4 linked regions of the Caenorhabditis elegans genome follow. The protein of the gene in region 1 purifies or fractionates together with the protein of each later gene. This does not show direct contact. Each region holds a gene or a part of one and is shown in the gene's direction. Other genes may lie near its edges. The genes, in order: glb-12, let-630, C01G10.10 and C01B10.11.

Evidence for each region.
Region 2: the proteins of glb-12 (region 1) and let-630 fractionate together in Caenorhabditis elegans (co-fractionation; one large-scale study listed by BioGRID). This does not show direct contact.
Region 3: the proteins of glb-12 (region 1) and C01G10.10 fractionate together in Caenorhabditis elegans (co-fractionation; one large-scale study listed by BioGRID). This does not show direct contact.
Region 4: the proteins of glb-12 (region 1) and C01B10.11 fractionate together in Caenorhabditis elegans (co-fractionation; one large-scale study listed by BioGRID). This does not show direct contact.

The regions. Positions count from the first base shown.
Region 1 is NC_003280.10:10,728,131-10,735,469, reverse strand, and holds glb-12 (GLOBIN domain-containing protein), read left to right. Parts: upstream 1-3,817; 5' UTR 3,818-3,907; coding exon 3,908-3,946; intron 3,947-4,092; coding exon 4,093-4,359; intron 4,360-4,418; coding exon 4,419-4,504; intron 4,505-4,575; coding exon 4,576-4,675; intron 4,676-5,203; coding exon 5,204-5,431; intron 5,432-5,484; coding exon 5,485-5,565; 3' UTR 5,566-5,666; downstream 5,667-7,339. Other genes in the region: mks-5 (Protein fantom), read right to left, coding at 6,220-6,302, 6,354-6,524, 6,946-7,272.
Region 2 is NC_003279.8:5,160,169-5,167,989, reverse strand, and holds let-630 (Small ribosomal subunit protein mS39), read left to right. Parts: upstream 1-3,105; 5' UTR 3,106-3,108; coding exon 3,109-3,207; intron 3,208-3,252; coding exon 3,253-3,390; intron 3,391-3,434; coding exon 3,435-4,730; intron 4,731-4,778; coding exon 4,779-4,907; intron 4,908-4,959; coding exon 4,960-5,292; 3' UTR 5,293-5,388; downstream 5,389-7,821. Other genes in the region: Condensin-2 complex subunit hcp-6, read right to left, coding at 1-343, 395-488, 534-1,567, 1,616-1,789, 1,847-2,305, 2,356-2,600, 2,650-2,833; ppw-2 (Piwi domain-containing protein), read left to right, coding at 5,786-5,974, 6,021-6,211, 6,260-6,428, 6,473-6,878, 6,923-7,646, 7,695-7,821.
Region 3 is NC_003283.11:15,078,106-15,086,212, reverse strand, and holds C01G10.10 (putative tRNA N6-adenosine threonylcarbamoyltransferase, mitochondrial), read left to right. Parts: upstream 1-3,771; 5' UTR 3,772-3,792; coding exon 3,793-3,884; intron 3,885-3,938; coding exon 3,939-4,062; intron 4,063-4,106; coding exon 4,107-4,255; intron 4,256-4,307; coding exon 4,308-4,471; intron 4,472-4,591; coding exon 4,592-4,878; intron 4,879-5,496; coding exon 5,497-5,623; intron 5,624-5,673; coding exon 5,674-5,788; intron 5,789-5,837; coding exon 5,838-6,045; 3' UTR 6,046-6,079; downstream 6,080-8,107. Other genes in the region: C01G10.7 (Citramalyl-CoA lyase, mitochondrial), read right to left, coding at 1-48, 105-209, 256-462; ahsa-1 (Activator of Hsp90 ATPase AHSA1-like N-terminal domain-containing protein), read left to right, coding at 840-919, 969-1,038, 1,087-1,833, 1,884-2,015; C01G10.9 (Methylthioribose-1-phosphate isomerase), read right to left, coding at 2,172-2,564, 2,610-2,907, 2,963-3,257, 3,312-3,426; UNC-76, read right to left, coding at 6,501-6,595, 7,492-7,703, 7,759-7,861. UniProt on the Caenorhabditis elegans protein: Required for the formation of a threonylcarbamoyl group on adenosine at position 37 (t(6)A37) in mitochondrial tRNAs that read codons beginning with adenine.
Region 4 is NC_003282.8:6,653,848-6,662,124, forward strand, and holds C01B10.11 (DUF7596 domain-containing protein), read left to right. Parts: upstream 1-4,133; 5' UTR 4,134-4,150; coding exon 4,151-4,235; intron 4,236-4,605; coding exon 4,606-4,757; intron 4,758-4,866; exon of another isoform or gene 4,867-4,891; intron 4,892-4,935; coding exon 4,936-5,097; intron 5,098-5,145; coding exon 5,146-5,257; intron 5,258-5,726; coding exon 5,727-6,094; intron 6,095-6,361; coding exon 6,362-6,397; 3' UTR 6,398-6,590; downstream 6,591-8,277. Other genes in the region: Y73B6A.1 (Protein kinase domain-containing protein), read right to left, coding at 7,389-7,555, 7,800-8,109.

The DNA.
Region 1 (7,339 bases):
TTTATCGTCTAAAAGCTTCTGACAGTTTTATACAGTACCCTGATAAATTCAAAAAAAAACGAATAGTGAAATTCGCAACTTCTTGGCAGTACTTTAGAATCTCCCTTACAGTAAAAATAACTGGGCAAAGTGTTGAAGACTTTTCACAAAATTATTGGAAATTTAAATCTATTCTTATTTTAAGCTCTTTTCTATAATTTCAATGTTTTCATTTTTATAATGGTTGCAATTCAAAATCCTTCTTTCAAACATTCCAAGCCAGAGTTTGTATCTAATCTGCTGTTATAAGTGATCACCACACCTTCACATTTTCCAATTATTTTTGATAATTGAAAACTTATAATTTTAGGCTTAAAATTCAAAACATTTTCGGAAAAATGCGGATGACTAAAAGTTAAAAAAAACTTCTGAAAATATTAAACAGTTTTGGGATAAAAAAAACTTCCAACAACCATTCCCTCTTCCATGTCAAAAAAAGTTCTTTGATTATTTTACTCACTTCAATACCTGATCACCTTATCCTAACTCAACTTACCACATAAAAGCTGAAAAATATCGGAAAATGAATTCCACCTGTTCTCCAACGTTTTCACTCTCTCTCTCTGTTGCTCTAACCCGTGACACTGATTAAAAACTCAATTAGCTACTTGAGCGTTGACTCACCTTTGTCGCTTGCTCACTGTTGCTCAACCAAAAAAAATATCAGCAAATTTCCATGTTCATGAGTTCAGCCGACCGAAACGGAGCACACTCAGAATGAGAGCTCAGAGCTCACTTTTTCTTCTTATACTTTAATTGTACCTATTCAAATGCAAGTGCTTGTAATCCTCATTCGGGTTAGCAGCGACTTTTTTCTTTCGTTATAAATTTTCAAATGGGGATCCCTGAGATCAAGATTAGAAATAATCCCCATGTGATCTTCACACAAAGTTTCGGATTTTTTTTTGGAATTCAAATTCAAAAGGTTAATTCCATATTTTTGTTCCGCGTTTTTGAAATTAAAAAATCATTGATGTTTTATTGATCGGAAACTGCATATTTTATTGCAATTCAAAATTGCGGGGCATGTTTTCTGCTCATTCTCCCCCAGATCACATCCGTTCCAAGTACTCTCAATTGAAAAATATAATGCAATTTCGTTTTATTAATTACACTCACGGGAAGGTACTAAAACTTTAGTGACAATACTTTCTGTCAACTCAATTTCCAGACTCCAGACACCTACGGTTTCCGGGTAAATTCCGATGGAAATGAATGCTTCCTCTCTTATTTTTCTGAGTAATAACAAGAGTATCAAAACTTTGCATACTTGAATTGTAATACTAATGTGAATCACAGCTTAATCGGAAATCTCTGAGGAACCGTCTAGTAAGGACTTCTGATTCAAAATTCAGTGTATTCTGAAACTAATATTCAAGTTGTAATGCTTGGCTAGGTAGTGTTTATAGGTAGTGTTTATTATAGTGATCCTAAAGAGTTTTGTTTTTAATACTTAGAAACATTTTGAAGTTCAACGGCTATTGGACAAGGGCCGGCGGCAATTGCCGTTTGGTAAATTTGTTTGTTGACAAATTAGGCAAATCGACAAATTGCCGGTTTGTCGACTTGCCGGAAATTTTAATTCTTGCCAATTTGCCGATTTGCCGGAAAAAATCGTTTGCCGCGTTTCTAATCGTTTCTACAGTAACCTTACTGAAACCCAGTAGTATAAAAGCCTGGTTTTCCAAGCAGGTACATAAACTTTCATTACCTGAAAACCCACCCCCCCCCCCCCCAACTCCAGAAAGAACCAAGATCACTTTTCCTTCCTACCTACACACTCACTTCTCCCTTATTACATTTCACCATTCCTTATATATTTTCTACCGAAAATGGCGAGTAAGGAGAAAATGTGATTTATAATTATTATTCGGGTCGAGAGCTCTTGCTCGCGAGCAGTAGCTGCCTGCTACCTAACACAACACACTCATTTCCATGTTTTTTTCACCACTTTTTCACGTTTTGTTAAGGTTTCTGTTATATCAGAAGGAACAGGTTTTAATTAGGTGTAACCTAGAGGAAAATTTTTGAGTTTCAAGTAAGATTATGCCTATTTTTCTTCCATACTTGTTTCAATTCTCGTTTTCAAAAAATCAACAAAAAAAATTCCTGGAAAATTAAATATTTCTCTTTTTTTTTCTTTTTCAATTTTTCTTGGAAGTCAGAACTTTTGGAATTTGGAGAGCGGCAAGCAAAGTGAAAACAATCAAATTTCTGATCAAAAACTATAGCAAAACTATCTAGTTGAGCATGAGAATTGATTATTTTCTGCAATGCGGGTGCTTGAATTTGAAAGATTGAATTGTTTTCTATACAAATTTCAGACTATTTTTGTTCATGAAATCTGCAGTTTTAATATTTCCGATTTTTACAAATTAACTGGAAATTTCTGAAAATATTCATGCTTCAATTTTTAGATATTTTCAGATATTCTGGGTGTCAAAATGGACATAGTATTCGTGTATAACATGTTCTCAGCTTTTAAAAAATATAAATTTCAACCCAAAAATCGCAATTTCATTTTTTCTCCATTTTTTTGGAGGCAAACGTCCACTTTGGTTTTTGAGAGCGGAGAACGATTTTGGAGATTAACCAACATTTCTGATAAATTCTTTAAAAATTCAATTGTGGACTTAAAATACCGTGGTTTAACAAAATTTGAAGTGAAAATGTTTAAAAAAATTAAATGGGCAAAAATCAAAAATTTGAGAAAATAACCAGAAACTAGGAAGCCGGTAGACCATGAATTGCTACTGCCGTTTATAAATCTGCCCCACCAGCAAACTATGTTCCAAAATAACTTGAATTCAAACTCCACAAATTTTGTCCCGTTCCAGAAATCTTTGATCCACTGAACTTTTACGTGCACCTGTTACACTTTTCCCGCCGGATCTTGAGTTCAAGCTTCTAACAAGTAATAAAACAGCCTACGTATAAATACATTTATAACATTAACATTCGAAAAACCAATAGTTCACCTACTTCCTTCTCTTCCCTTATTATTTCTTGTCAGAACTCTCTACTATAATTTCGCAGTTTTTTGTCACTTTGTTTATCCCACTTCTTCGTATTTTTCCCTCTTCTGCCTTCTTCTCACTTTTTTAAAGCAATCATTTGGTTATATTCATACTTTCTATAAGTTTTTGGGAAGAAGAACACTGATTTTTGATATGCGTCTTTTCTTTCGGAAAAGATCCCCGAGAAAACTCAAGTCTAGTCTCAGATTTTGACAAATTTAAGTGTTAAGCTGACAAGGAAAAGTTTCGATTTTTTTAAATGTTTCATCGAAAATTAGGATTTTCAAAAAAGCTCATTTTAATAGGTCCCCACAAAAATTATACTGCTTGGAAGCATTTTAAACAAGGCAAATTAGATTTAAAAGATTTCTCAAAATCTACAGTTTTTTATTATGCTTTGGGTCATAGGAAAAGTTTGAGATCTTTTCAAAACAAAATTATTAACCCTAAAAAATCTAATTTTTTCCACAATGAATATGGCTAAATTTTCAGTTAGGATTTATTTGATTTCCAAGATCTAACTGGCCATTTCCACAATTTAAGCCAAAATTCAAATTAGTTTTCAGCCTTGTGAACGCGAATTTATGTTGCTCTGTTCCCCGTCATCCCATAAAAAATCAGCCGTCTTCCGTTTTATGACTACTTCAACACACAAAAAATCCAATCATCATTCCATTGCCACGTCATAATTGAGGCTTATTCAATTTGTCTTCTTCATGTTTACTCACTCCTTCTCCTTTTTCAGAGTCTTTCAATTTCAAATTTTCAGAACATTTCCTGATTGAGGTGATGAGAAGTTGTGCTTAAGATTTTTAATAAAACAAGTATCGTTATAAATCTATATATTTTCAATGGGTGCCACATTATGTGCACCGAAAAAGAAAAAAACCGTGAGTTTTGAGCTTGATTCGGAAGATGAACATTTCTCAAAAATTTTTGGATTTTTTACATTCTTTTCAAAAAAACAGTACATAAGAATAGAGAACTACAGTACTCTTTAAAGACGCACAGAACATTTTAAAAAATTATTTTCCAGCAAGTCGGAGCATCTTGGGTCGGAAACGAATCTGAAAATCCATTTGACTTAGCCCTCAATAAAAAAGACCGTACTCTGTTACGTGAAACTTGGCAAAGGCTAGATGATCCGAAGGATATTGTTGGTCTTATATTCTTAGATATTGTCAATGATATTGAACCGGACCTCAAGAAAGTGTTTGGCGTGGATCGGGCTCCGCGAGCCGCGATGCTGAAAATGCCGAAATTCGGAGGGCATATTCTAAGATTCTATGAGTTCATGGAGCAGGTTAGCTGTCTAAACTACATTTTTAAGAGTATTTTTTGAACTCAAATTTATTATTCCAGCTCACGTCAATGCTTGGCACGTCTGAAAATCTGACGGGTGCATGGCAATTGGTACGAAAAACGGGAAGAAGTCATGTCAGACAAGGGTAAGTGCGCAGGTGCAAATGCCGTCACTTTGTATGATTATATAGTCCAATGCCATTTGATGATTTTTCAGTTTCTTGGAACAAAATCAGAACCAGATGGAGAAGAACTATTTCGAAATTGTTATAAATGTATTTATCGAGCGATTAATTCCATTTCTGACGGGTGAACAGGTGAGATTGTGGGATCAGTTAGGTCAAGCTAGTTTGAAAGTTCAACTAATTGATTTGTTGGAAGGTTTATTTGGAGTACAACTCAATCAAATTATTTTCTAATAAAGGAATTAATTGAGCTTGATTTCTGAAAAAATCTATATAATTCGAAAAAGAAATTTTGCGGTCGAGAAGCATTTTGAAAATTTTCCCGAACGTAGATTAGGATGTTTGTGAGCGAGGAAATTACTTGAGCTGTTTTCAAAAAAATGTTTGTTTTTCTTTTTAAAAAAGGTGCAATTTTTGATCCAGTTGGGCAAAATAGTTGCGGGTTTTTTCAAAAAATTAGAATAATATTTTCAAATAAGTATTTTTAAATGTTACTTCAGATCGGATTTTTTAGTTCTTTGTGATCCTCTTCCTATAAATTCTTGTAGATACCTATTCGAAATAAGATTGTTTAAATTAAATTGGTTTTTTTTTCTAAAAAAGTTCATAATCTCCCCTCGTAAAACAAAAAACCTTTTCACCCAACAAATATGATTTTAGGAGCTTCCATCATCAGAAGGAAAAGAGAACAAAAAAGTGCGATTTGCTCAAAACTACACCACATCTCAAATCACAGACGTCTGGAAGAAGTTCTTAAACACAGTAATTAGTCAAATGACTGACTCATTTGAATTGGAAAGAGCAAAACAGAAGAGTGCACAAACAACAAAAGCCTTGGCTCCACATCAACATATCGAGATTTCGGAAAGGAAGAAGAAGAGGGTGGCGGTATGTTATTAGTTGATATCATACATTTGTTAATTTGATATTGGCATTTTCAGGAAAAACAAAGCGAGATTGAAAATACGGCAGTTTCAAATGAACCAAAAGCTCAAGAGCAAATGTTCGAAGATCCATTCTGAAAGTATATTTTTATAGTGATATACCATATAAAACATATTGACACTGAAAAAACACTGATAAATAAAACTGATTAAATTTATTGAATAAATGATTTTTTTTTGATTTTGTAGCACATTTAATGCACAAAAATGAGCTAAGCTTTTTTTGCTATTGCGTCACACAAAGACATGCAATTTTGGAGACAAAATAGCATTGCTGAATTAGGTTTAGATACATTTTTATGTGAATTGAAAGTCAGAGCCAATTACGTTATAGGCCGATTATTTTTCGAGTTTATGTATATGAGGTTTTATCCTCTTGAGGATCTATTCCATTTCGGTAAGAGGATTCAAAAAAAGTCAACTAACAAATCACTAAAAATTCAAAATACATTTTTCCGTCGGCAACATTTTAAAATCGTAATTATTTTGCCAAGATATGATAGTTACCTAAGCGTTTTTTGTGCTGTAAGTAGGACGTCAAGTTTGAAAATGCAAATTTCATTTTTCACCAATTTTTCAAACGATGTTAAAAAAGAGTATAGAATATTGCTTAGTTTGCTCTCCAGCAACCACAATTCACGATACTGAACAAGTTTTTTTTTAACCAAAATATTTATTAATTTGTTGAAAATATAATCTAACAAATTATTTAAACCGTATTTTTCAATTTTCTCAGGTCAATTGTTCAATTAATGCTCTTGAGAAATGCAATGTCAATGTCATCTCGGCTTGCACAATTCCACTCCGATCGTAAACTGAATTTGAATTCAATTATAAGAATGAGATACTTACGACAAATGACTAACCATCAATTACAAACGATTTGTTCTGTGTGTTGTTTGGCACTAAAATCAAACTTCCGAAGCCGAGCTCCTCTTCGTCGCCTGGACTGATCTTGATGATGGTTAACTCAAATTTGATGCTAGCACGGATCCATTGATCGAGAAGAGAAAGTTGACCACGCGTCAGGGTGTATTCTGAATAATTGAGATTATCGGGGTTAACTTTAGAGAGTGGCATTTAAGTTATTTTCTAAACGTACTTCAAAAAAAAAACCAAACATTTTAGAAGAATTTTTGAATTTTATTTTTTCATCCTCTGAATCGCCACATTTCAATGAACATTAAAAAAATTAATAATGTTTCAGTCAAGCTCTGAGATATGAGCTCTTGAAGTTGAGCTCTTGATGCACCATGTTCAAAAACTAGGTCCTCCAACTTTAGACGTTCATATCTCAAAAAATTGTCACAAAAATGTAAGTGCTAAAATATTTAAAATTGAATGTTCTATATTTCTGCTTAAAGAATTGTTTCAATACCTTTGAATTGAACTGGGGCCATAGATATCAAGCAGATAAGTATTTTATACTTCCCATAAAAAATCTCAAAAAACTAATACCTTTTGTATATCGAATATCCACCATTTCTTGTGGTCTTCTCGGAAAATCAAATATCGTACTCTTCGACTGCTCATTCGTAAAATCCAAAAATACCCAATCAACGAAAAACGTCGTCTCTTCTCTTGTCAATGGAGTCAGACTTGATCCGGGAACAAGTTCAAATGTTTCCAATTGTATTGAAACTTTCATATTCGGTTCCAGTACATCTTTGTCGGTTGGTGACAACGGTTTTCGCACTTTGATCAAACTATGCCCTTCATAATCCGGCAGTGGAACAGGTGCTTTTTCGGCGCGACGTGGTGATGAAGTTGACGAGGATTCAGATGCTGAAATTCAAAAATAGGGATGTGGAAAAGAAATTTCTATTCGAGGGTTTGCGGCTTCTATTTAATA
Region 2 (7,821 bases), on another chromosome or scaffold:
CGATTTTCTTGATATTGTTCTCAATGACGTGGATCATGTATTGCACGAGATTTGATTCTCGAGACAAGTCAACTCTGCTGAACGTCTCAATCGCAAAATCAACGTTCTGTTCAAACTGAACACACAACTGCGAGAACACCATCCATGCGCCATCCAGTTTCTCACTGCCACTAATAATGTGCTGCTTCATCGAATCCATTACTGTGCGCTTGACGAGTTTTTCACGAACTGCATCTTTCAATGTGCTCATGAGGTATTGACGGTGATTGGTGACAGATTCAATTGTATCTAACAGCGTCCATGTGAGATCCGATGAGTTTTCGAGTAAGGGAGTGAGAACTTTCTGGAAATTGGAAACAAATTAAGCTTCTATTATAAATAATTAAGCCCATACCATAATCAACTTTCTGGCATGTTCAGTGACGTCATTATCTGTATCATTCAGCATCGAGATCAAGGTGTGAAGCCATTTTGAACTGAGACTTTCTCTGAAAATAAAATTTGTTTTAAATTTCGTCAAAGATTACAATTACTTGAAAAGGATTGCATCTCGTAACATAAGTTCTGTAAACGCATCGGCTCCAGTTTTTCTGACTGAAACCATTCTGTCTCGACATAACATTTGAAGAATTGAAAGCACAACTTCAAATTTCGATGCTTCGTCGCAATATGATAGATATGATTTGAGAAGCGAGCACGCAGCCTTCTTGACCGGAGCCTTGTCGTCAGTTGATAGTCGGCGCACGATCATATAAACTATATCCTTTTCAACGCGTGTCTCTCCCTTGTTCATCAGTTTCAACTTATTGAACTTTTGAATGATTTGCTGCTCGTCGAGAAGTAGATCCGTTGGCTTTTTTGTTTTACTACTTGGTGCTTTACCAGAAACATTTAAATCTTCAAGACTTTCACTCAGGTTGTCGCCCACTGCGCCGAACTTTTCATCCATTTCCGCATTTATTGTTGCGCAGAACAATTGGAAAGCTTCTCGATGCGATTGAGACTGAAGGATTTTCGTCAAACTATTGGCTCCGTGAAGTCGCATAGCTGCAGCTTTATCCAAACAAGCCATGTAAACGATGTTATACAGAACAGACATTGCATCCATTCGACCAACTTCTTTAACTTCCTTCGCCTTCTTTTCTTTCTTCTTCTCTTCTTTCTTTTTAGAAACATTCTCCTCGTTATCGCCATCATTCTCTTCGTCTGATTTATCCGACTGTTCTTCCTCTTTGACTGCAACATCATCCTGCTCGTTTTCTTCCTCCTCTTCTTCATCTTCCCCTTCCTCCTCCTCATCCTCTTCTTCATTCTGCTCTGCGTCCAAGTTTGGAATAGCTCCTGGGTCAGGTGCGGTGAAGTCAAAACTGCTGATGAGAATACTCGAGAGCTCTGTAGACAAGGATTTTACTCCGGCTCCGCGGCCTTTGAACAAGACATTCATGAACTGGACAAAATCATAGGTATATGTGTATGGAAGAGCTTCGAGAATCTTGTGGATAAACGTGGCGATATTTGTTCGAAACTCGGCTAGATCTGGACATTGTGAATACACCATCACAGTAACCTAAAATTTAAAAATAAGTTAATAAAATATTTCGAAGAAACTGCTCACTGTCTGAATATACTTCAACTCTCTTGCTTCGGGATTTCTTGAAATTCGTGATAGAATTAAATTGACATGTAATTCACCAGATCTCTTTCTCTCCGTTGAAATCTTTGAAGATTTATTGCTTTCATCTGGATATGGCATCAGCGCAAGGCGAGGGCGAATAAGTCTTCCGTAAGCCTAAATTTGTACTAACCTTATTAATTTGTTTTGTAATTTTTTTAATTTTAATCCCACCACTTCTGCTCTTGTTTTATACTTGCTTTCTACTAAAGAATGCACAAATGCACAGTATCGATCCGTAAATCGCTCCAACGATCGGAACTCGTGGACTGAATTCGCTCGAATCGCTCTTCCTGCGGTTCGATTGTCAAGATCTAAACGGCCGATGTCTTCCACGACTTCTAGTGTGCTCATGAGTGTTGGTGTATCAATACTGAAGGTGTTGCTATGCAGAAAAGCAAATAACTGGGTTGTGAGATGATGCAGGTATCGCTCAGCCGAATCGACAGCAATTCGAGGGGGACCAATTATAGGATCTGCTGCTCCCGTTGTTACAGTCATTTCTCCATCCACATTTGTTTCGTCTGACTTTCCACCCGCTTTCTTTTTCTTTGCTCCACTTGATTTTTTTGTAACGACAGTCTCTCCTATCCTAACTGTATGACAACAGTTTCGAATAATTTTCAGACATTGCTGAAAAAATAACATTGATTATATGACATGTAATAAACCCGTATACTTACATTGTATAAACCAATTTGATAAAGATCTGAGATTGCTCCAGGCAATGAGCACATAGCAATATAACTACTGGCAGCAGAAACTCCTTTATCAACATCCTCTTCCGAACTGTCAGATCTCTGTCCGTTTTCGAGAAAATACCAGACGAATAGATTAAACTTCATTGTCGCCACATCACTTTCTTCAAAAATATTCCGAATATCGCATTTCTTTCCCGAGATTACAACGCTTTCGGCAAGTTTCTTTACTGAAAATAACAATTTTGAATAGTGAAGCTAACAAAATTCTCAACATACGCTCTTTCAGAACTCCACTCAGATCTTGCTCGAAAAAAGTCAGGTCAACAGAATTTGTGAATTCTTCATAATCTTCATAATTGCATTCTGCTGAAGAAGTTGCAACGGCATCGTCAATATCGTTGAGAGACCGGAGATTTGACTCAAGAAACTCCGATAAATCTTTTTCGTTGATATTCGACATTGAATCTAAAATAAAAAATGAATCATTTCAATAAGGGTAATTTAAAACGTTAAAAATAAATATTTAGGAAAAAAAATTAGGATCTCTGTTTGAATTTACCGCGTTGAGATTTTTAGGCCACGGCCATTGTGTTTCTAGGCCATGGTGCAAACACGGCGCGCAATACTGCGGACAAAACATTTTAACACCCGATTTTTTTTTTTGGTTCTTACTTAGGCTTTTTACGTTTTGAGTGTTTTTCATCTTTCTTTGCTTAACTTAATATTTTTTAGGCAATGATCGGCCGCATGGGACTTGGCAGAGTTATAACTCGCAGTTTATCGTCGGTTGAGCCTGCATTATCTCAAAAATTGACAATACAGCCAGCAATCGAGGTTGACTATTTTTAAAAATTCATACTTGAACTTCTATATTTCCAGAGATCTCCAACAGATTTGTTAAATGCCTTGTCAGAAACCGTTGGCCCGGACACAACTGCTCCACATTTTGCCTACATTGACGATCCAATTACCATTCCTTCCACGCAGTCAACGAAAAAGACCTATTTTATGGCGAAGGTAAAATTTTTGCCGGAATATTAGAATAAGTTTGATAATTTTAGGAGTTTGGCAAAAGAGCTGCACGAGAACTAGCTACAGAATGGCCAACCCTCTTCGCTTTTGACAGAGATCAACCTCAGCTCCCGGTTTTCCGTCCTCGACATCTAGCAGATCCCCTTCAAGTTGAACCGACAGAGAATAACCTGCTTAAAATGATTTCAAGTCGAGAAGTAAAAGACTCGTGTATTTTGTATGAACGCATGCGATCAGAGAACGTTGACGTTAGCGAGAAAGTCCAGCTGGAACTATTCCGTCTTGTAACCTATTACAATTCGTCAAACGTACCTTTCGCAGAATGGGAGGAGTTTGTTGGAATGCGCAATTTTGGAGAAGATTCTACATCCTCATGGAAATCGGGTGCAGTCGCTGATCTTCTTTTCGAAACTCTCCCAAAAACTGATGAAACCGTTTCTATAATGATTGCTGGTCTATGCAAGTTTTCTGATCATTCTAGTTTGGAAAGAGCTAGAGAATTGTACAAGGAGCATCGAGCTGCAAAAGGAAAAGTTTACCGAGAAGCGTTCAATGGATTAATTGGCGCTTCAAGCTACAGTGTCGGGAAGAAATTGGTAGCTGAAATGATTTCCCTCAGAATGACACCCGATATTTTCACGTTCAATGCATTACTGTCGTCTGCTGCAAAAGCTGGAAAGTTTGAAGATCGTGTGAAGGCGTTCACTGAAATTATTGGAGAAATGAAAGAGATTGGAGTTGAACCAGCACTGTCATCTTTTCATTTAATTATCAAAAACATCATAGATTTTAAATTATTGGATAATGAAAAACGAGAGAGTGACGAGCAAAAGAAGACCTATAATCACCAGCTCACCGTGGCTATATCTTGGCTCAATGAAATTCAGAATAGCCTTACTGGAAAAACTCTCAAGCCGATTACATCCACTTGTAATCTTTTCTTCGTCGAAGCAATGGGAATCCATTACAGAGCTGCAAATGAGAACCTCGCAGAAAATCTTGTTTCAATTTATGAATCCAAAGCAAACGAAGTAAAGATGCCAGCATTCACAATTGAATCAATGTTCTATAATAGACAATTACAATTGGCTGTGGAACAAAGTGCTTCACTGAACAGAATTTATGATTTGTACACCACCATGGTACCACGACTTGTTGGAGTCAACAATTATCTGTCATCACTAGTTTTTCGAAAACTCGCTGCATCCTCCGATCGTCATTGGCCACTGTTACGGAGAGTAATCATCGACGGTATTGCAGCTGGACAGATGAATGGAGTTATTGGAGAAGAAATGCGCAAACAGTTGTGTAATGTACAACTACATGTAAGTTTTATTTCCAAATATCTTGTGTTTTTTACAAGTTTTTTTCAGACATTGGGAACTAGTGAACGGGAGCAATTCACATCTCTTGTCCAAAAATTGGTTGCAGTTTGGGTTGAGTTCAGCCAATTCACAGAAGAGAGAATGAGAAGGCTCCAAAGGAAACTGTCGCCTAGCCAGGTTTTAATATTATTTTTCAAACCATAAGTCGTATATTTCTCAAATTTTGCAGATCTCAGAATGTGCTTTGCTCTTGACCAGAATCGGAGAACAGCAGAAAGCTTACGAACTGTTAGATCTACTGCTTGATGAAACTGCAAGCAGTGGGGACGAAGCGACTGTTTATCCACGTGGACATGCTAGGCCATGGGCAATGGCAGAATTGTTCGAAGATGCTCTTAGAAAACGTGATACATATGCTGCAGCGACTTGCCTGCAAATTATGTCGTTGACCGCCAACCGTGCAAAACTTGAGCCTCTCGCCAATCGCATTTTCGAGAAATGTAATGTGAATCAAGAGCAAGTTCGAATTATTCAAGGATTCATTCGTCTTCGCCCACAATAATTTTATTTCGTTTAGCCTAGGATAGTTGTAAAGTTATTTTGTTTTTGTTTTGTTTTGCTTTCAAAATGTCTCCCATAATAAAACTTATTTAAAAATTTGTTCAACATGTTTTTTTTTCAAAGGTCGTTCAATTTGAAATTAAAGGCGCATCGAGTTTTCATCTGAGTGGGTCTCGCAACGCTGTCTAAGGTATACGGTAGCTATTCGCACTACTTCAAAAAATGTTACCTACTGTCCCAAAATATTCATTTCCGTGCACGATTTTTCAGTATTTCTTGTTGAAATCTTCATATTTTTCAAGTATCTAACAAAAACGTGTTTCAATAGTTCTTTTTTCAAGTTATAAGTTATAAGATTTAGAGAATGCATGTATCCCGAAAAGTTGCATAAACTTATTCAATTTTTTTCCAACACGTTATTCGTAAATTTTAAGATATTGTTCATAATGCAATCGTTCTCCGATTTCAGGTAGTATTCACTAACAACATTCACAATGCCTGCTACACCGGTTCCACCGGTAACAATGCCACCAGTGCCACCAGTTGGTTTTCCACCGGTCACCGCTCCGCCAGGACTTCATCCACCACCACCAGTCCCACCGGTTCCGGTTCCGACTCTTCCTGTCACCTCGGAACACAAAACTGCTCACGATGCGTGTATTAAGCGACTCGAACAGCTTGAGGTGAGATCGGTTCTCGTTATTGCTTAGAATAAATATGATATTTTAGATTCCGCCGGATCCGAAGATCTATCCTTCTCCAACCGAACCTGGAACTTTCGGTAGCGTGACTGAAGTCCTGACAAATGTGTTTGGAGTCGAAGTACATAAAACTTCCAACTTTTATCAATACAGTGTGCACATCACTGCTGAACTTTCATCGAAGAAAGAAGTAACTTTCACTAAAAAAGGAAAAGAAGAGTAAGATATTGATGATCGAATTCAAATTTCCTATGCATTCAATTTCAGCTTCATTGTTCATGACCGCCATGAGAAGTGCAGTGCTATTCTGTTCCACGCATTGAACCGCTTTGAGGACTTTTTCAAGTCGTCTGAGAACTGCATCATCTACGATGGACAGAGCATTCTCTTCACCAGCATGAATCTTTTTGAAGGAATTCCAACTGGAAAAATTAAGGTATCGAGATTTTATTTGTACTTTCGATGCATTCCTAATTTCAGACAAAAGTGTTTCAAATTAACGGTGCGGACACCAACTTGAAAGACCTAATGGTGCTGCCGTGTATCAAACTGGAAGTTTTTCCTACCAAGAACCCAGTCGTGAATTTCTCCCTGGAAGATATTGGAAGACGTACATCGGATTCTAACATCGAGTCTGTCAATATGGCTTATAAGCAGATTCTCGATCTCGCTATGAGTCAGTACGCAATTCGCGAAACCTCCAAATGTGTAGTGTTCGAGCACGGAAAGATGTTTTTCATTAATCCATTGCAAGAAGGGTACGCTCCATGCGACATTGTGGAAGTTGGAGATGGGAAACAAATGAAACCGGGTCTCAAGAAAACCCTCCAATTCATTGAGGGTCCATACGGACGTAACCAGAATAACCCATCGATTGTCATTGACGGTTAGTTTTTAGCTCAAAATAGACAAGTATATTTCAATCTTCAGGAATGAAGGTGGCATTCCATATGGAGCAACTCGTTTTCCAAAAATTGTCATCGATCACATCCAATCTGGCTAACGGAATCACTGGATCCGAAAGAGAACGATGTGCAGCTGTCATCAAAGGACTTGACTGTCATTCAAACTATAGAGGACGCACACGTCATCACAAAATTGAAAGCATTCATCACGAAGGAGCCGCAACTGCCAGATTCGAGCTCGAAGGTGGTGGTACTTGTACCGTTGCCACCTACTTCAAGGATAAATATAAGATTCAACTTCGCTATCCGAACGCCAATCTCATCGTTTGTAAGGAAAGAGGAGCTCTCAACTTCTATCCCATGGAGTTGATTACTATCAGTCCAAATCAACGTGTTAGAATCACTCAGCAAACAAGTTCTCAAAGTCAACGAACCACAAAAGAAAGTGCAGTGTTGCCAGACATTCGCCAACGTTTGATCATGACGGGAAAGATTGCAGCGAAGATCACAGCTGAAAACGAGGTGCTCGGTAAAATGGGAGTGACTGTTTGCGATGAGCCTCTTGTGGTGAAAGGGCGAAACCTCCCGGCCATTAGGTTGGCTTCATTTGAAACGGGTGAACATCTCATCAATCCAAGAGATTGCAAATGGCGCCCACAACGCTACAACCGTTCAGCTGTGGCTCCGAAAGTATGGGCGTTGTACGGCGTGGGGTCGCCGGGATCACAAATGAATCGCGACGTTATGAGGTTAGTCTTACTCTACTTAAAATTGATTGGTTTTTTCTGATTTTTCAGACGTTTTTGTGACGAGTTCATGAATATGAGTCGTTCGAAAGGAATTCTGTTTCCGCCACCTGGAGACGTCAATCTTCTCACCCCTGATGCTATCGAAAATCGTTTGCGTGAGGCTGCGAATGCTGGA
Region 3 (8,107 bases), on another chromosome or scaffold:
TTTCGGAATCATAAATGCTTGTGGCAACTTTTCAGCTTTCGATACTGCCTGAAATTAAAAAATTCGTGAGGATAAAGTTTGAAAAATTCAAAAATAAATCTTACAATGATATCATCTTCGAGAAGACCACTGCTTACAGAATTGACACGTAGACCAAGCTCCTGGCATGCCAATGTGTGATATGGCAGTTTATCAAGAGCCGCCGCAGCCTGAAAACTCAAATTGTAGACAAATTTCCAATTACTTTTCACGTACTCGAACTCTAGCATCAGCTTTAGCCGTCAGAGCAACGCCATCTTCTAGCTCCAAAACTACTGAATCCGCTTGCATCATTGGAACTTTATCCAGCATTTTTTGATTGCTGGCTGGAACGTATAGAAGTGCACGTCTTGGAACATACTTTGCTGCGTCCCGAACTCCGGCAAACTGTGAGATGTGCCTAATTATCGTTTTAGGAAGCATTTTTCTGAAATTGAAAAAATTAATTTATTTTAAAAAAATGTGTAACGTAAAATCTGAAAAAAAAAAACAAAAATAAATAACCAATTACGTGCGTAAATCCACACAAAAATTGCAATGCAAGCTCGCCCTATTGATAAGCGGTCGTGGCCTGCTGGCCTAGTTTCTTCCATTTTTCATGAATTTTCTCGAAATTAATTGAGTTTCTCCTGTTTTCAACGAAATTTCAAAGATTTCTTGTTTTGATTTCAACGTTAAATATTTATTTTCAAGTTTTAAATTGAAATTCCATTGTTTTAAGTACAAAACGACTTAATCTGGCTTGATGTTCACCTTAAAAATCTCGATAAACTGACTTAAATTAATTTCAGGGAATTTAAATGGCCAAGTGGGGAGAAGGAGATCCACGCTGGATTGTTGAAGAACGAGCCGATGCAACAAACGTAAACAATTGGCATTGGTGGGTCTCGATTGAAGTCATAGCTTTGAGCTGAATAAGTATGTTTTAGGTCGGAGAAGAATGCAACCCCGTGGTCTTTGAACCGACTCCGTGAACTTCTCACCGGATTTTCGTCCGAGGTATAATTAATAGTTGAACAAGATCGTATTAAGAGTATTCGTTTTCAGGATGGCCCAATTGTCGTGACAATCGATGAGATCAAAAAGATCGACGGAGAAGCAACGGCAAACAACCGGAAGGCTAAGCTCATCTTCCTTTTTGAATGGGTTATCGAAGGAACATTCATTGCTCGTGTTTCTGGCAGTGAAGACGAATATAAAGGAACTTTCGATATCCCAAACTTGAGTGATGAGAACGATGCATCCGAAGTGGATGTGAATTCGTCATTGAGTGGAAATGGCCCAATGGCTCATCAAATCCGCCAAGTTCTTAACAAATCGTTCATTGCAAAGATTCAAGATGTTATGGGAATCTATATCCGTGAATTGAAGGAAGAATTCAGCAAGGGTCTCATTCTGCCAACTGATAAAGTGAAGCCACAAGTCGTTACTACTGGAAAGACTTCAGTCGTTGACAAACGTCAGTTCCAAAACACTGTTGTCGCGGAAAAGGACGCTTCCACTTCTGGAAATGAAGTGTTCTCCACCAAAGAGGTTTCAACTTCCGATACCTACAAGGCCACACCGGATAGAGTTTTCGAGGCGCTCACAGAGACTCAATTCGTTCGTGGATGGACAAACAATTCGATCGGAGAGTGGAATTTCAAGGAAGGAGGATCATTTGCATTGTTCGGGGAAAACGTGACTGGAACATTCGAGAAGATTGAGCCGAACAAGGAGATTGTGAAGAAATGGCGACTGAAAAAGTATCCAAACAATCATCATGCAACCATCCATTTCCAGTTGAAAGATACTGTAAGTTTTAGAACAAACGAGGATAAACCTTCTATTATAATAAATTCTAGGGATCTGGAACGGATATCAAAATCATCGCTAAAGATGTTCCAACTCATCTCGCTGAAGAAACTCAACAAGGACTCGATCGTTACTACCTTTCAAGCATTGGTCGTACTTTCGGATTCAGCCAGCGAATGTGAAAAAATGAAAAATTGCAAATCTCCTGTTTTTGATGTTCTCCGATCTTCTAAACCGCTTTCTCAATTTATTTATTTTATATCAATCTGTGTTTGTGTTCTAAATTTAGTGATAATATTTTCATAAATTCAACAGATTCTGTTCAAAAACAAACAAAATTATTTAGGAATCTGCTGCTCGAGCATTTCAGGCGGCCAGTTTCCGAAATCCGTCAAAATTTTCGTGATGAGATGCGCCGGCGTGACATCAAATGCTGGATTCCAAACCGGACATTCAGAATTTCCGATTAAAACTCCATTTACTCGAAGCATCTCTGCAGATGGTCGTTCTTCAATTTTAATCTCCTCCCCGGTTGCAATATTCTTATTGATCGTCGTGAATGGAACAACCGGATAGAAGTTGATGTTGTGATGTTTGCAGAGGACAGCAAGCATATAGGTTCCGATTTTGTTAGCCGTATCGCCGTTTCTTGCAACATTATCGGCTCCGGTGAGCACACAATCCACCTGGTGATTCTTCATTGCCCATGCTGCCATTGAATCAGTGATCAGCTAGAAAATCTGGATTTTTAAAAGATAATCAGTATTTAGCATTACCTTGAACGGCACCTCACCATGAAGAAGCTCTATGGAAGTCAACCTAATTCCTTGATTATAGGGTCTCGTCTCCAAAACGTAAACCAATTTCAGACGGTTTTCAGAATGAAGAGCCCGAATGACTCCGAGAGCAGTACCCCAGGATATTGTAGCCAAGCTTCCTGTGTTGCAGATCGTCATTACCGTAAGCTTCTCCTTGTCAGGGAATGCCGAGAGAAGCTCTTGATAAGCGTTCCAGACGAGAATTCTATTTTGAAGCTTTTCATCCGTATACACGTTGAGAAGATAACTGCGGCATCTGTTGGAGAATTAATTGCGATTATTTGGAATTATTTTTGAAATTTAAAACTCACTTCTCAAGCTTAACCACATCCGAATAGTCTTGAGACTCTAAAATTGGTTTCAAGCCGTTCAAAGAATTTCTCAAATCAACTGCAGTTGGTCTTGAGCTTATCAAAAAATTAATTTTCTGAATAATACTTTCAGAATCAAGCTCAGAAGCCTTTTGGATTTCCAGGAGCAGTCCGAGACTTCCGACAACTGCAATAAGTGGAGCTCCGCGTACTTGCATTGATTTTATAACTGCAAAAGCGTCAGAGACACCTTCAACCGGGATGTACTTGAATTCATGTGGAAGTAGGAGTTGATCTGGATTTTATTTTACTAGAACTATGCTTTATAAGATGATATTTCTGAACTTACCAAGGACTTCCAAATTGGTTCCATCAAACTTCAGAGAATCCAATCTTTTCGACTCGTCGAATAAAAATGAATCAGGAATAGGCCCGTTTACAATTTTATTGATTTTTGAGGTCATTGTCGTAAAATAGCAGCAGATACCTAGAGCTAAATGAATTGCAGAGCGCAAATTGTCTGTGCAGCGTTTTCCAGATGATAAGATAAGCGAAAGTGTAGACTGGAAGTGAGCAAAACGTGAGCACAAGTCGAAAAGTTGTGGAAGAGGATGTATTTATTTATGGAAATATTGTCAATGTTTCATTGCTATATTCTCAAGTCAATTTATTGATGAGATTTATTTAAATCTTCTTCGTGGTTACGGTTTTAACGCCGAATGGCCTAACTTCTGCGCATGCGGCCTAGAATCCGACAACCGTGTACTCCTCCTAGACAATTGCAGAGAATATTTTTTATTAAGGTTTTTTATTCAATTTCTCCATCTAAAATGAATATTCCGAAAATTCTGAACAACAATTTAGTTTTAAAGCGAATTTTTTGTCGAAATTACTCCGTTAAAGTGCTAGGAATTGAAACAAGGTAAGGAATATATAAGCAATAGAGTTCAAAAAATTAAAATCATTAAATTTTCAGTTGTGACGATACTGCAGTAGCAATTGTCAACGAGAAACGAGAGATTTTATCTTCAGAGCGGTACACAGAACGGGCGATTCAGAGACAACAAGGCGGGATTAATCCTTCAGTCTGCGCACTTCAAGTAGGATTCTTCTTCAGAATTTACTTGAAATGAAATATTTCCAGCACCGTGAGAACCTTCCAAGGCTTATAGAAAAGTGTCTGAACGACGCTGGAACATCACCGAAAGATCTGGATGCAGTAGCGGTTACAGTAACGCCTGGATTAGTTATTGCACTTAAAGAGGGAATTTCAGCGGCGATTGGATTTGCAAAGTATGATACTATGAATATTTAAAATTTTCGAATATTGATTTTTCCTGTTCAGAAAACATCGTCTTCCACTGATTCCAGTTCATCATATGAGAGCCCATGCTCTGTCAATTCTTCTCGTCGATGATTCAGTGCGATTTCCATTTTCAGCAGTTCTTCTTTCGGGTGGTCATGCATTGATTTCTGTTGCAGAAGATGTCGAGAAATTCAAATTGTACGGTATGAGGATTGAAATATTTGAAAAAAAAACTTATTACTCATTGTCGCTACATGGCACGAAATTTTATTTTTAAACTTCTCTCAAAACATAAAATACTATAAATTTTTCAAAATTTTCAGGCCAAAGTGTCAGTGGAAGCCCGGGCGAGTGCATTGACAAAGTTGCGCGGCAGCTTGGAGATCTTGGATCAGAATTCGATGGGATTCATGTGGGCGCTGCGGTGGAAATTCTAGCCTCTAGAGCCTCTGCTGATGGCCATTTGAGATATCCCATATTTCTTCCAAACGTTCCAAAAGCTAATATGAACTTCGATCAAATCAAAGGATCCTATCTGAATTTGCTGGAAAGATTGAGAAAAAACTCTGAAACATCAATTGATATTCCAGATTTTTGTGCTAGCCTTCAGGTGTGTGAAGAACCAAGAAGAGACTTCGAAATTGTTTTTGACGCTTTTTCCAAAAAAAAAAAAACTTATTCTAAAATGCAGTTTTCTATCAGAAAAAAATCTTTAAATTATACAGAAACCACCAAAAAAATCAAAAAATTAAAGCCTATAAAAAATTGAAAAAAAAACTTTTTTTCGATTTTTTAAAATCATTGTTCAAGCCTTTTGAATACTTTTCAATGTTTTTTGAGTTATTTTCTATAATTTCTGTCTCTGTAATTTTTTCACTAAAACTATCAGAGAATCTCAAAAAATTAGTGTTTCAAAAAATAAATCCGAAAAAAATAATTTATCTAAAAAAACGGAAAATCGATGTTTCCAAAAAATCGTTTTTGCAATAAAACGAACCAAAAATCTCATATTTTCAAAAAACCAAAAAAAAAAGATTTTTCTTAAAAATAAATCAAAAAATCCTTTTTTTTTAATTAAAAAAATCCAAATTCTGGTTAAAAAAAAAACGGTTAAATTATTTGTTTCAAAAATAACTCTTACTTTTCCTAAATCGACATTATTAGAGCATTTATTAGGAGTTTCGACAGTTTCGACGAACGTTTTTTTTTCTATAAAAAATTATTTCAGAACACCGTAGCCCGACATATCTCGAGCAAACTTCACATCTTCTTCGAAAGTCTCTCCGAGCAGGAAAAACTTCCAAAACAGCTGGTGATCGGCGGCGGAGTGGCGGCGAATCAGTACATTTTTGGAGGTTTTTTTTTAATAGAAGTATCAGAAAAAGCTAAAACTTTAATATTTCAGCAATCTCAAAACTATCAGCTGCTCACAATGTCACAACCATCAAAGTCCTCTTGTCCCTTTGCACAGACAATGCCGAAATGATCGCCTACAGTGGCCTTCTGATGCTCGTCAATCGGTCCTTTAGCCCCCACCAACTCTATAATTAACTATTCGAATTCTTGCAGATCGGAGGCAATTTGGTGGCGACCGAATGACATTCCTGACACAATTTATGCACACGCTAGAAGCGATATTGGGACGGATGCTTCTTCGGAAATCATTGATACACCGCGTCGGAAACTGGTGACATCCACGATCCATGGCACCGAGCGGATACGATTCCGGAATCTGGATGATTTTAAGAAGCCTAAAAGCCCTAAAACAACTGAATGAAGAAAATTTTCTAATAAAAAATGCACATAATTTTATATGACTGTGTTTGTAGAAAAAAACGAAATAAGAACAAGAAAAGAAGCACAAGCAAAAACATTAATGATCATCAGTAGAGAGAGAGAGAGATTCCGGGATTGTAGAGAATTTGAGTATGGACTTTTTGTTGGCAGGTGCAATTGGGAGGGGGGCACAACTAGAATTTGTGTCATTCATTGGGTTTTCAGAGAGTCAAGAAGCTTTTTGAATTAACATGGAAAGGAAAGAGAAGGGGGTTTTTTGGAAAGCAGCTGTGGAGAGAGAGAATACGATTTTTTTTGGACTATTTTTTTTTAAAGCTGTATCACACAATTTTCAAAAACAGAACGGAAAACTTTTAAATTGTAGAATAGAAAGAAGAAGAAGAACAAGTAGATGGGGGAAAATGACTAGTATGGAATGGCGAAGGGTGGCAATGGCTAACACGATATATTTTTTGGACAGACATGTGTTAAAATGTAGTCTGTCAGCAGGGTGGGTACTGTCGTATTGTCATCGTGGATTGCGCGGAGAACTGAAAAAAACCATTTATTTTCAATTTTCAATGACTTTTTGTTCAATTTTTGAGAAATTTTGGCAAAAAGTTAGCAGATTTTGTTTAAATTTGTTTATAACTTTTTTCCGGTTTTTCAAAGGGATATTGAGAGAGAATTTATTTTAAAATTTTCCGGTTTCTCAATTTCCATTTTGCAATATTACCCAGACGCGAAATTAGCACAATTATACGGTACCAGGTCTCGGCACGACAATTTTTGTTAAATACAAACAGGCGTGCGCCTTTAAAGATTACTGTAGCTTCAGGTTTTTTCGATTTTTCATCTTTTTTTTTTACTCCATAACTATATAAATAAAACAATTTAGCAAAATCTTGAGAACAACTTTAAACAATCGCGATTAAAATGTTTGAAACTACAGTAATCCTCACCTTTTCGCATTTAACAACAATTTTCGTCTCGAGACAGTATTTTTTGTACAATATTTTTGACGCAAATTCGCGAAATTAAAAATTTTTTCGATTAATTTCAGGTACAAAAAATCGAGAAAAAAAATTCGAAAATTAAGAATAAAATTCAATTTTTAAAATCAATTTTTTTTTATGGTGATGAGGAAAAACATATAATTTTCTTTTAAAAATATGAAAAATTAGCTAAATTGGGGGCTATTTTTGTTTTTCGAAAAATCGGAGAAACGAAAAACCGAAAAAAAAGTCTTGATTTTCATGGAAAATCCTTTAAAAATCCCCACCGACCCTATTCCACTTCTAACAAGGGGACATAATCCCGAGAAAAACATATTAAAATTCTGTATCTCTTATGCAAATATCTCTTCTTTTTCTCACTAATCAATCAACACACAGCTGATATTCTTTGTCAATTAGATATTTATTTATATCTCTTTTCATCTTCTCACTTTTGATTAGAGACGCAATCGACGCATTATCGATATGTTGATGATCGTTGTACGGAATTGTCGCTGTCAAATATTGTGGCAATTGTGAAGCATCCGACGCCTTTCCGACCTTCCGTTTCCGATCATTAGCGTAAACTCGTCGCTTGTTTTGAATCGCCAGTAATAGTGAAATAAACGAGTTTTTCATCTCTTTTTCGTAGTCCAGCTCATCTCTGAAACAAAAAAACCGAATTCCAGTTTTAGTTCCAAAATTTCCCGAAAACCAACCGATGTGCCAGCTCATCGACCAAACTCTCATTATAAACCCGAATCAGCTGCTCCATTTCCGCGCATAGTGTCACCAATTTCGAATAGGAGAGCTCTTGAAGATCTGAAATGAAAAGAGTGTTGAATTGCAGTGCTGAATATATTTTGGGTAACAGGGAGCGATTGAAAATGAAAAAAATGTGGGTGTCAGTGAGAGTGTTAAGTATGGTGTTGCTTGGGATTAGTTTTTGGAATAAGTTATACATTTCTTGTTTTTTCGAGAAAAGCATCACGGGCTTAAAAATGTTTGCGCCCTGAAAAAGTACTGTAGTTCCCAGCGGGATTTACATTGATTTTCCCTTTTTTCCGT
Region 4 (8,277 bases), on another chromosome or scaffold:
ATCAGCCGGTTGATGTGTGTGTGTGTGTGTATGTTTCCGTACCTCTTCTATATGTATCTTTTGTATATATTCTGAAGTATGAGAGAATACAAGCAACCGAAGAACTATTCCTTCTCATACTCTTCGGCATCAAGCAGGTTTTGTGGTTGACGCGTTTTTGTCATTGCGGCGGACACACAGACAAAAGTACCTCTTTTTTATTTTGACAAATAGCCTTCTCAGTCAGCTGATTTCGTTTTTTTGTTGTCGTTCAGTTAATAACGAACAAACAAAAAAGGTACAATTCAGTGTTTCAAATGTTTGTATATCTCATCGTATAGGTTTACTTTTAATCTATTCATGATTCTCTTTTTAATTTGTTATACTGTTTACTTTCAGTCCATGTGAACGTAGAAGTTTGTATGACTTCAAGAAACTTATTTTGCATATCTCTTTGTATTATGGAAATAAGAAAGCTTAACAAGTTTCCTTCAAAATTTTCATCGTAATGTTCAAAAAAAATTAGTTTTTCAAATTTTAACTTTGTCTAAAGTAGGGGCGAGCAGCTTTCCAATTAGAACCAAATCATACTAATTACCAATTTTTCACAAATAAATATTTACACTTTCAAGTCAACTCTATAAATTTCCGGTGGAAAATATAAGTACAACCAAAGAGGAAATTCAAACAAAAAAATCCGACAAATCATCAAAAAAAAAAAACAAATCTCAGACAATTTTTGAGCCCAGGATCGATTGTCACAACTTAAATAAGACCTTTTTCCTTTTTTAAATATTTATCACTAAATTCCAAAAAAAAAACTGAGAGATCAAGCCACACTTGCTCATTCTGCAGATCTGCTTGTCGGCGATTGGCGCGCACCCCGAGTTCAACATGAAGATTTAATTTGAAAGCATATTAATTAATTTGTACAAAAATCCAATATTGATATGATTGGACTTCATTATGAAATTTGCGCGTCTGTTCACTAGGTTCTTTTCTAAAAATCGCAGCCCCGTTGTAAATTAATTAGACTTTAAAATTCGTTCAACTTATTTCAAACTCTATTTCCGTTTGATTTTTTTTCTAATTAACACTTGACTTTTTTCACTCCACTTAACACAATTTACCGATCTATGATTGCATCGATGTTTTAAAAAAAAGTTCATTCGTCCTCATCGTAAGTTCAATGGTTTAACTTTTGGAATTTCTAAGAGTATAGGAAATTTGGAATCCAAAAAATTATTCGATTTTTCAACTAATGAGATAGATCAAAACATTGTCCATTTTAATTACTAAAACAGTGACCGATCCCGCCCATTTGCCATTTTCTTCATTATCTTACTCCCCTTTTTCTGTTTTTTCACAACAGCCAATTTGAAGAATGTTTCGTATTTTATCATTCAGGTACTAACCAGTTTACTAAACAAGATAGCAAAATTACGATTGTTTTTTTTACGTTAGAAACATTTCTTCCAACTTTTTTATTTTAATGGTTTGTTGGTGTTTTCAAAATTTCAAAAAAATTACCATCAGCAAAAATAAAATGCTGTTTCAAGAAGTTGGCAATTAAGATTGCAAATAATTCGTTCTTAATCGATTAATGCCTCTACAATTTTCAAAAAAAAGGATATTGTTTTTTTTTGCTTTGAACAAAACCTTAGATTTAACACGATTAGATTATTATTTTTATTTATATTAAAAACTATTTCATTGCTGTTTTAATGTTTTTTACTGAAAAATATCATCTCAATTTTTTCACTACTGCAGCTTCAGCATTTATAAAATTTTTTTAAATTTTCCGCTTGGAAAATATGCCTTTAAAACTTTTTTCAGCCAATCACTTGTTGTTGCTGAAAAAGTTGTGTAAACTTTTATTCTGAAACTACTGTACCATGTACACATATGCGTATTTTCTAATTTAAATTTTTATTATTATTGTCACTCTCTCTCCTGGAAATCTTCGAAAAATCCAGTTTTCATTAATATTTTCTTAATATTCATGCCATTCTTATAATGATGCAGACAAATGGATGTCCAAGTACAGAACAGATACAAGGATACACACGAGTCTGACGAACAGTGATAATGCATTGGCCATCCGCCCGCGCGCGCGCATGATGACGCTGTCAGTGATAAACTTGATTATGTCAGAGAGATGATGAGAGAAAATGGAAACATTATTTGACAGAATTGTGGCAAATCTTTCCTCTTCAGTTCTATGTATCTTTCCTGTTCTGTTCGGAAGAAATGAGTAATTGGGAAGGGCCAGGATATGTGTGATTTGAGGATGAAACTTTGATTTTATGGCTTGACTGTTCGGATTTACAGATTGAAGTTGAAGAAAAATATGTTGTTGAAAACTTTGAATTTTCATGGTTTTTTAGATTTTATTTAAATAAAAAGTTGAGAGTGTGGGATGGTTTTTAAACTTCTCAAACGAAAACTCGATAAATTGATTGAAAAGATCTGCTGAAACCACTTGTTTGAATGCAAAAAACTAAGGTTCTAGAAGGACAAGAATTTACGCGCCAATTCAAACCTTGGAGCATTTTTTCAAACGGTTAACTGAATTTCCCCCTGTTTTTCTTTTACCACGCATTTTAGTTCTTAAATATTAGCTACACTTTTCAGTAATTCCTCCATATTCAATAGTCATAGGATAATTGATGAAACAGTATTCTGGATTTCAAACTCAAAAATGTAAACTTTTCTTAAAAGGGTAATTATTTCGGACATAAAATCGAAAACTTATTGTAGTATTTTTTCCCCGTAAAAAGTAATTATTGTTGATTCACAAACATAATTACCCAATTATATTGCATTTTGGTAGATTTACTAAAGGTTTTCAATTTAACAAGTATGTGACAATTGCCGGGAAATCGTCATAATCTTGTGAAAATAAATGTTTTAAAGTAAAAGACGCTTTTGTTTTTACAAAACCTAACCAAAATTTGAACAAAATTGAAAATCCAGTAAAAATATTTTTCACTGTTTCAACAAAATTTGACATATTTGAGTAATAAGATTTTTTAATTTAGTACCGCTTCCCACAAATTTATATACATTTTCATTATTCTTTATCTTCAACTCCCTCAATTATTTCCCCAAGTTACCGCAATGACCTTGATGAAAACCCTATGGGGGGTCGGCTAATCCTCCATCCTAAAACCTCCCTCAATTATTTTTACCGTCCCATGCTTTGCAACCTTCTTTGCAATCTCTAGAATTTTATATGTTTCTTTTTGCAACTTTTCATTGCCAGACTTTTGGCTGTCGTTTATAAACTAAAAAATTGAAGCATTTATTTCCAAGAATTCTTTTGAGAAAGACGGGATCTTCGGGGAACTCAGACATTCAGGCATCGCACACCATTTTGTTTTCAAAATTTTTGGATTGATATCACTTTAAAAGGCTAATATTGATCTAAAATGGGCCGGAAAATTCATGAAAAACAGTTTTAAAATTATTAAAATATCCAAAACTGTGGTTCAAACTGAGGAAACTTTTTCAATATTTACTGTTTCAATGCTTCAATTTTTAATGCAAGTAGTGAAAACGATTAATAAACTGCAGTTTTATGAGTCTATTTATTTTCTCACAATAGATTTTCAATCCTCAGATAAAATTATATTTGAATCATCGATTTGGATAAAAGATAAATGATAAAAATGCAAGAAATGAACTTCTAAGAGTTCAACCAGAACTCCCAACCTATCGCCTATCTACTTCCATCCAAATTCCAAAAAATGCCGCCCAAATTTGCCGTACTTTTGTCCAATTCAGTCTCTTCACTTTTCAATTTCATCAATTCATCAATTCTATCGGGAACCTTGAGAACATTCTCGAGATCCCGCCCATATCCCTCCTATGTCTATTATGTTATCCGGTTATCTCTTTGCCTTCACTGTCTTCAGATTGTCACTTTCTTCTTTCATTTTATCACCTTTTTCCATGTAGATTCGGAGATAGTGTACACATTTGAAATTGCAACGAATTATGTACTTTGTACACGTAAACCTGAATTTCAAACTTCAATGTGCGAATCTTGTAAAAAAAATTTAATGTTTCATATCGTCTATTTGTTAAACTCACTTTTTCGTGATAATATTGTTTCTTCAATACAGTTAATTTAGTAATACTTAATATTTCAGTCTATTTAACTTTCGTAATGTCCGTTGAAATTGCCCAGCTCAACAAATTGGACACAACCAAGCTTCCAGAAGCCAGTGTTGCATTTGTCAAGAACGGATCAGGTATGCCCTTGTTTTAACCTTCTAACAAGGCCACCTTCAGAAGAACACTTTGAACTGAAAACACTGTGATCATAAACTTTTCAGATAATTTTTCATTAAAAAATGTGTTTAAATATTTATCTACTAATGTTTGAGTAAGTAAAAACCAAAAAAACTTCCTGAATAAGATGACATGTGTTTAAAAATATAATTTCCCAAGTTTTTGATTATTGAACACATTTCTAATCGAATTCTTGAATTAAAAAAAACTTTTTTTGAAATAAGAACTAGCAACGGTTTAGAATCTGAACAGTTCAAACTCATTGGCTACAAACATCTCAATTATATAGCAGAATCTTGACACTATTCTTACTAAATTTAAATTTTACAGGAAAAACTCTTGCTCGTGAGACAATCATCAAATACACACCATCACTTGCCTACGCAGTTGTTCAGGAGTTGGACTCTACGATTCTGGGAAAAGATATTATTGTTGAGAAGAAACCAGATGATGCTCTTCAACTCAAGCTTATCACAATTGAGGTGATATATTTCCAATTTTAAAATTAGTTTTTCTTAAATAAAAAAAAAGTCTAAAAAAATATGCTGTTTCAACATGTTGCTAAATAAAAAGAGATATATTCTTCAGCAATAAGCACAATAAGTCATGTGATTGAAATGTATTTTTAAAAGATGTTTCTAATATTTATTTCATATTCAGACAGTAAAAGAGAACCGTCGCCTTCTTCCAATTGCTCAACAATTCCACACAGTTCCAGATGGAAGACATGCTGAATGTCATTTGACTGATATCCTTTCAACACATTCTCTTGGAACCTACAACTTGGATCTTAAGAAAAATGTGACAATTGACTCTTTTGAGGTAACTTTTTTCTATTTAAAATGGTTGTAAATTATTAATTTTTTCTAGCTGACTGATTCATGGAGAGACGACGCTGGATTCATTGTCACTGACAGAAATGTGTACATTCAGGGAACTTATGATGTTTCCAAGTTGCTTCCAACTCTTATTCCTTCCACTCGTAAGCCTATAAAATATTCTGAAACTTTATTCTTGGAAATTTTAATTGAAAAAAAACTAATTAGTTTGTTTAAGCAAGTAATTAAAAAAAAAAAACTGTAATATTTGAGCTTCATTTGAGCTTCAATTTTTCAACAAAAAAAGTTAGAACGAAGTGATTTGGCCACACCTACTTTTATACTTTTTTGGTTTTTCTTTTTCACTATGACTTCTTTAATTGAATTTTTAAAAATCCAAATATGTAAATTCGTTAAAAATTGTGAAAAAAACGGTAGTTTAAAATCAAATCAGTATTTTCTAATTGTAAGTTTTTTTATGAAATTTTAATACGTTAAAAATAAATAGAAACATTGCGGTTCATTTTTCAAACCATCAAACCCCTTGAGGCGTTGAGTTGTGCCTGCCTTGTAGGTACGTAGGTAGGCATTTTTCTGATTTAATTACAAGATTTCAAACTATTCCTTTTCTAGAAAAAATGATCTCATACACGAAAACCGACTTCGATTCGGTCGCCGACTTTGACTCGACAGTCTGTGGATTTCCACGTGATGCTTATCTAACTCTTCTCCTCTCTTCATCTTCAACTATTCTTCTTGCGAAATCTTCCGGTTCTGTCGATGGAATTATCATTGGAAATGGAGCTGATCGAATCAATTTGATCTATGCTGAAACTATCGAAATCGCCCACGCACTTTTGAAATGCTATGTGGAGAAGACGAAAACCAAGCAAGTGACTCTATTCACTGTTCAGGGAATTTGGGAATGTGAGCCAACAAAGAAACGGGCAGTACATAGAAGACATACACGAGCTGTGCCATCTCTTATCAAATGGGCTAAAGTGAGTTTTTTTCTTAGGCTTGTCTTGAAAAATTTGTTTTTTAAAATGTACTTTAATTTAGTTTTAAAATGAATACTTATTGTCAGTGAATAAAAAGTGTTTGGAAAAAATTTCAGTTTCTGATTTATATTCTACTCAATTCTTGATATGGAACAAGTTTTTTGCAAGTTTCAAACTGATTTTAAAATCATTGCATTTTTTTGAAGCTTGAAAAATAAAAAACGAAATTTTTCAATTTTGATTTTTTAAAATATTTATTATTTTCAGATCTACGCGTTGAACATGGGTGTCCACATTGTCTAATTATACAATTTTCTACTAAATGTCATTAATTTCTTAAAAGTTCTATCTGTATTTGTCAATTACCCGCCCTTTTCTCCTTCCCCCTCCACTCACATATCCCACGAATTACCAAAGTTTAACTGTCCTCGTTCTAAAATGTTTCGATACTAAAATGTTTGAAAACCTTTTTTTTTCAATAAATGTCTTCCTGAAACTTTTGGTTTGAAAATCTAAATTTTGGATCTCAATGGTTGATCTCTTATCCATAAAACGGTAAGAGATCACACACCGAGTCAATTCAGAAATGTCTGCCAGAATTTACCAACATTGTGAAAAAGTCAAATTTTCTAATTGAAAAACATATTTTAAAAATTAACAGAAAAGTTAATTTTGTCACTCAAAAATCAATATTATTCACTTTTGAACCTATTGCCTGATCTCTTATCCATTATTTGGTAGGAGATCAACCAACAGGTTGCAATTGAATATCGTCACCAGATTATATGGACAATTGAAACTGCATAAATTTTTAATGAGATCCTTGAAGTCTTTCTTCACTTTTTCCAGTCACAGACACTTTTGCACCTTTTTTTGTAAAAAGTAGAGCGGTTTCTCTTCCAATTCCAAAAGAAGAACTGGTGAAAAAACAAAACGCCCGACCATGATGGGAACATAAATTAAAAGCAGTGTAAAATTTTGTGATTTAATTTTACAAATATTAAGGACTTATACTAAAAATATGATGACAAATTTAGAAATGGAAACGAAATTAAAGTTAGAAACTAATCCAAAATGACTCATTTTTGTCAGTATATATACTTACGAGAGACGTAGACAACTCGGCATTTCGTGTCTAATTTTTCCCACCTTTTTGCCAAACCTTGAGAGAACGAGTATACATAACTCTGTGTACGAAATTGAAGTGGAGTGGGAAAATGCCGGAAATGCTGAAACTCATATTTTATTCGAAAAAATTCAAAAAAAGCAAATAATAAAGCATTGATTTAAAATATCATTCAATCAATCCATTGAAAAGCTCCGAGTTTGGATACCATGATGCATGTTCCTCATCGTAATTGTTCACAGCATCTGCCAGCGCCTTCAATCCGGGAACTTTAAAAACATCCATGGCATGGTTCCGTAGCTTTGTGTAGTCCGAATCTTCAAAGCTGGTGGACGCTGTAATTTCAAATTAAACTGTTGAGGGAATGAAAATTAGGAAAGTGACTAGTTGGGTTTTGTGAAAACAAAAACTTCTAGTTTTTGATTTTTTAATTTTGTCTCTAATTTTGTAATATAAAAAAATATATGGTAAAAATACGAAGCTTACTATTAGAAGCGAGCTCTAGCGGGTTGAGCTTTTTTCAGTAATTTAATACAAAAAGTTGTTCAGTTTTCTCTCCGTCTTTGAAAATAGGCAAACCTTTATTATCGGAGCTACATTCACTTTTGCCATAATCGATAATTTTTAAAAGAACTCCAGACGTTTTCAGTTTGACTGCTTTTCCTTCCAGGATGTACGCGACAGTCCTCAACTTCGTTTTCGTGACGATGGTGTTGTCCACGGACAAATCACCATGTGAAAATCCGAGTTCTTTTTGTGCAGTCATCAGCCCGACAACCAATTGACAAACGAATGATTTCCTTTCATTATCAGTTTTAAATGGGAAATCGCCGATTGATCTTCCTCCTTCAACCAATTCCATAAAAATCGCCACGAATTGGGCCTTTTCCTGAAATATATTTTGTACTACACTCAAAATAATAAAACTGCGTGGCGTGTACGTCCAAACATGCCCGCCTTTTTTTTCGGAAGTCACGGCGGCAAAAATCGGGACCCAACCAATATCAGGCCGCCGACATGTTACGAGTTCCGCACTATATTTTCCTTGCAGCGGGCG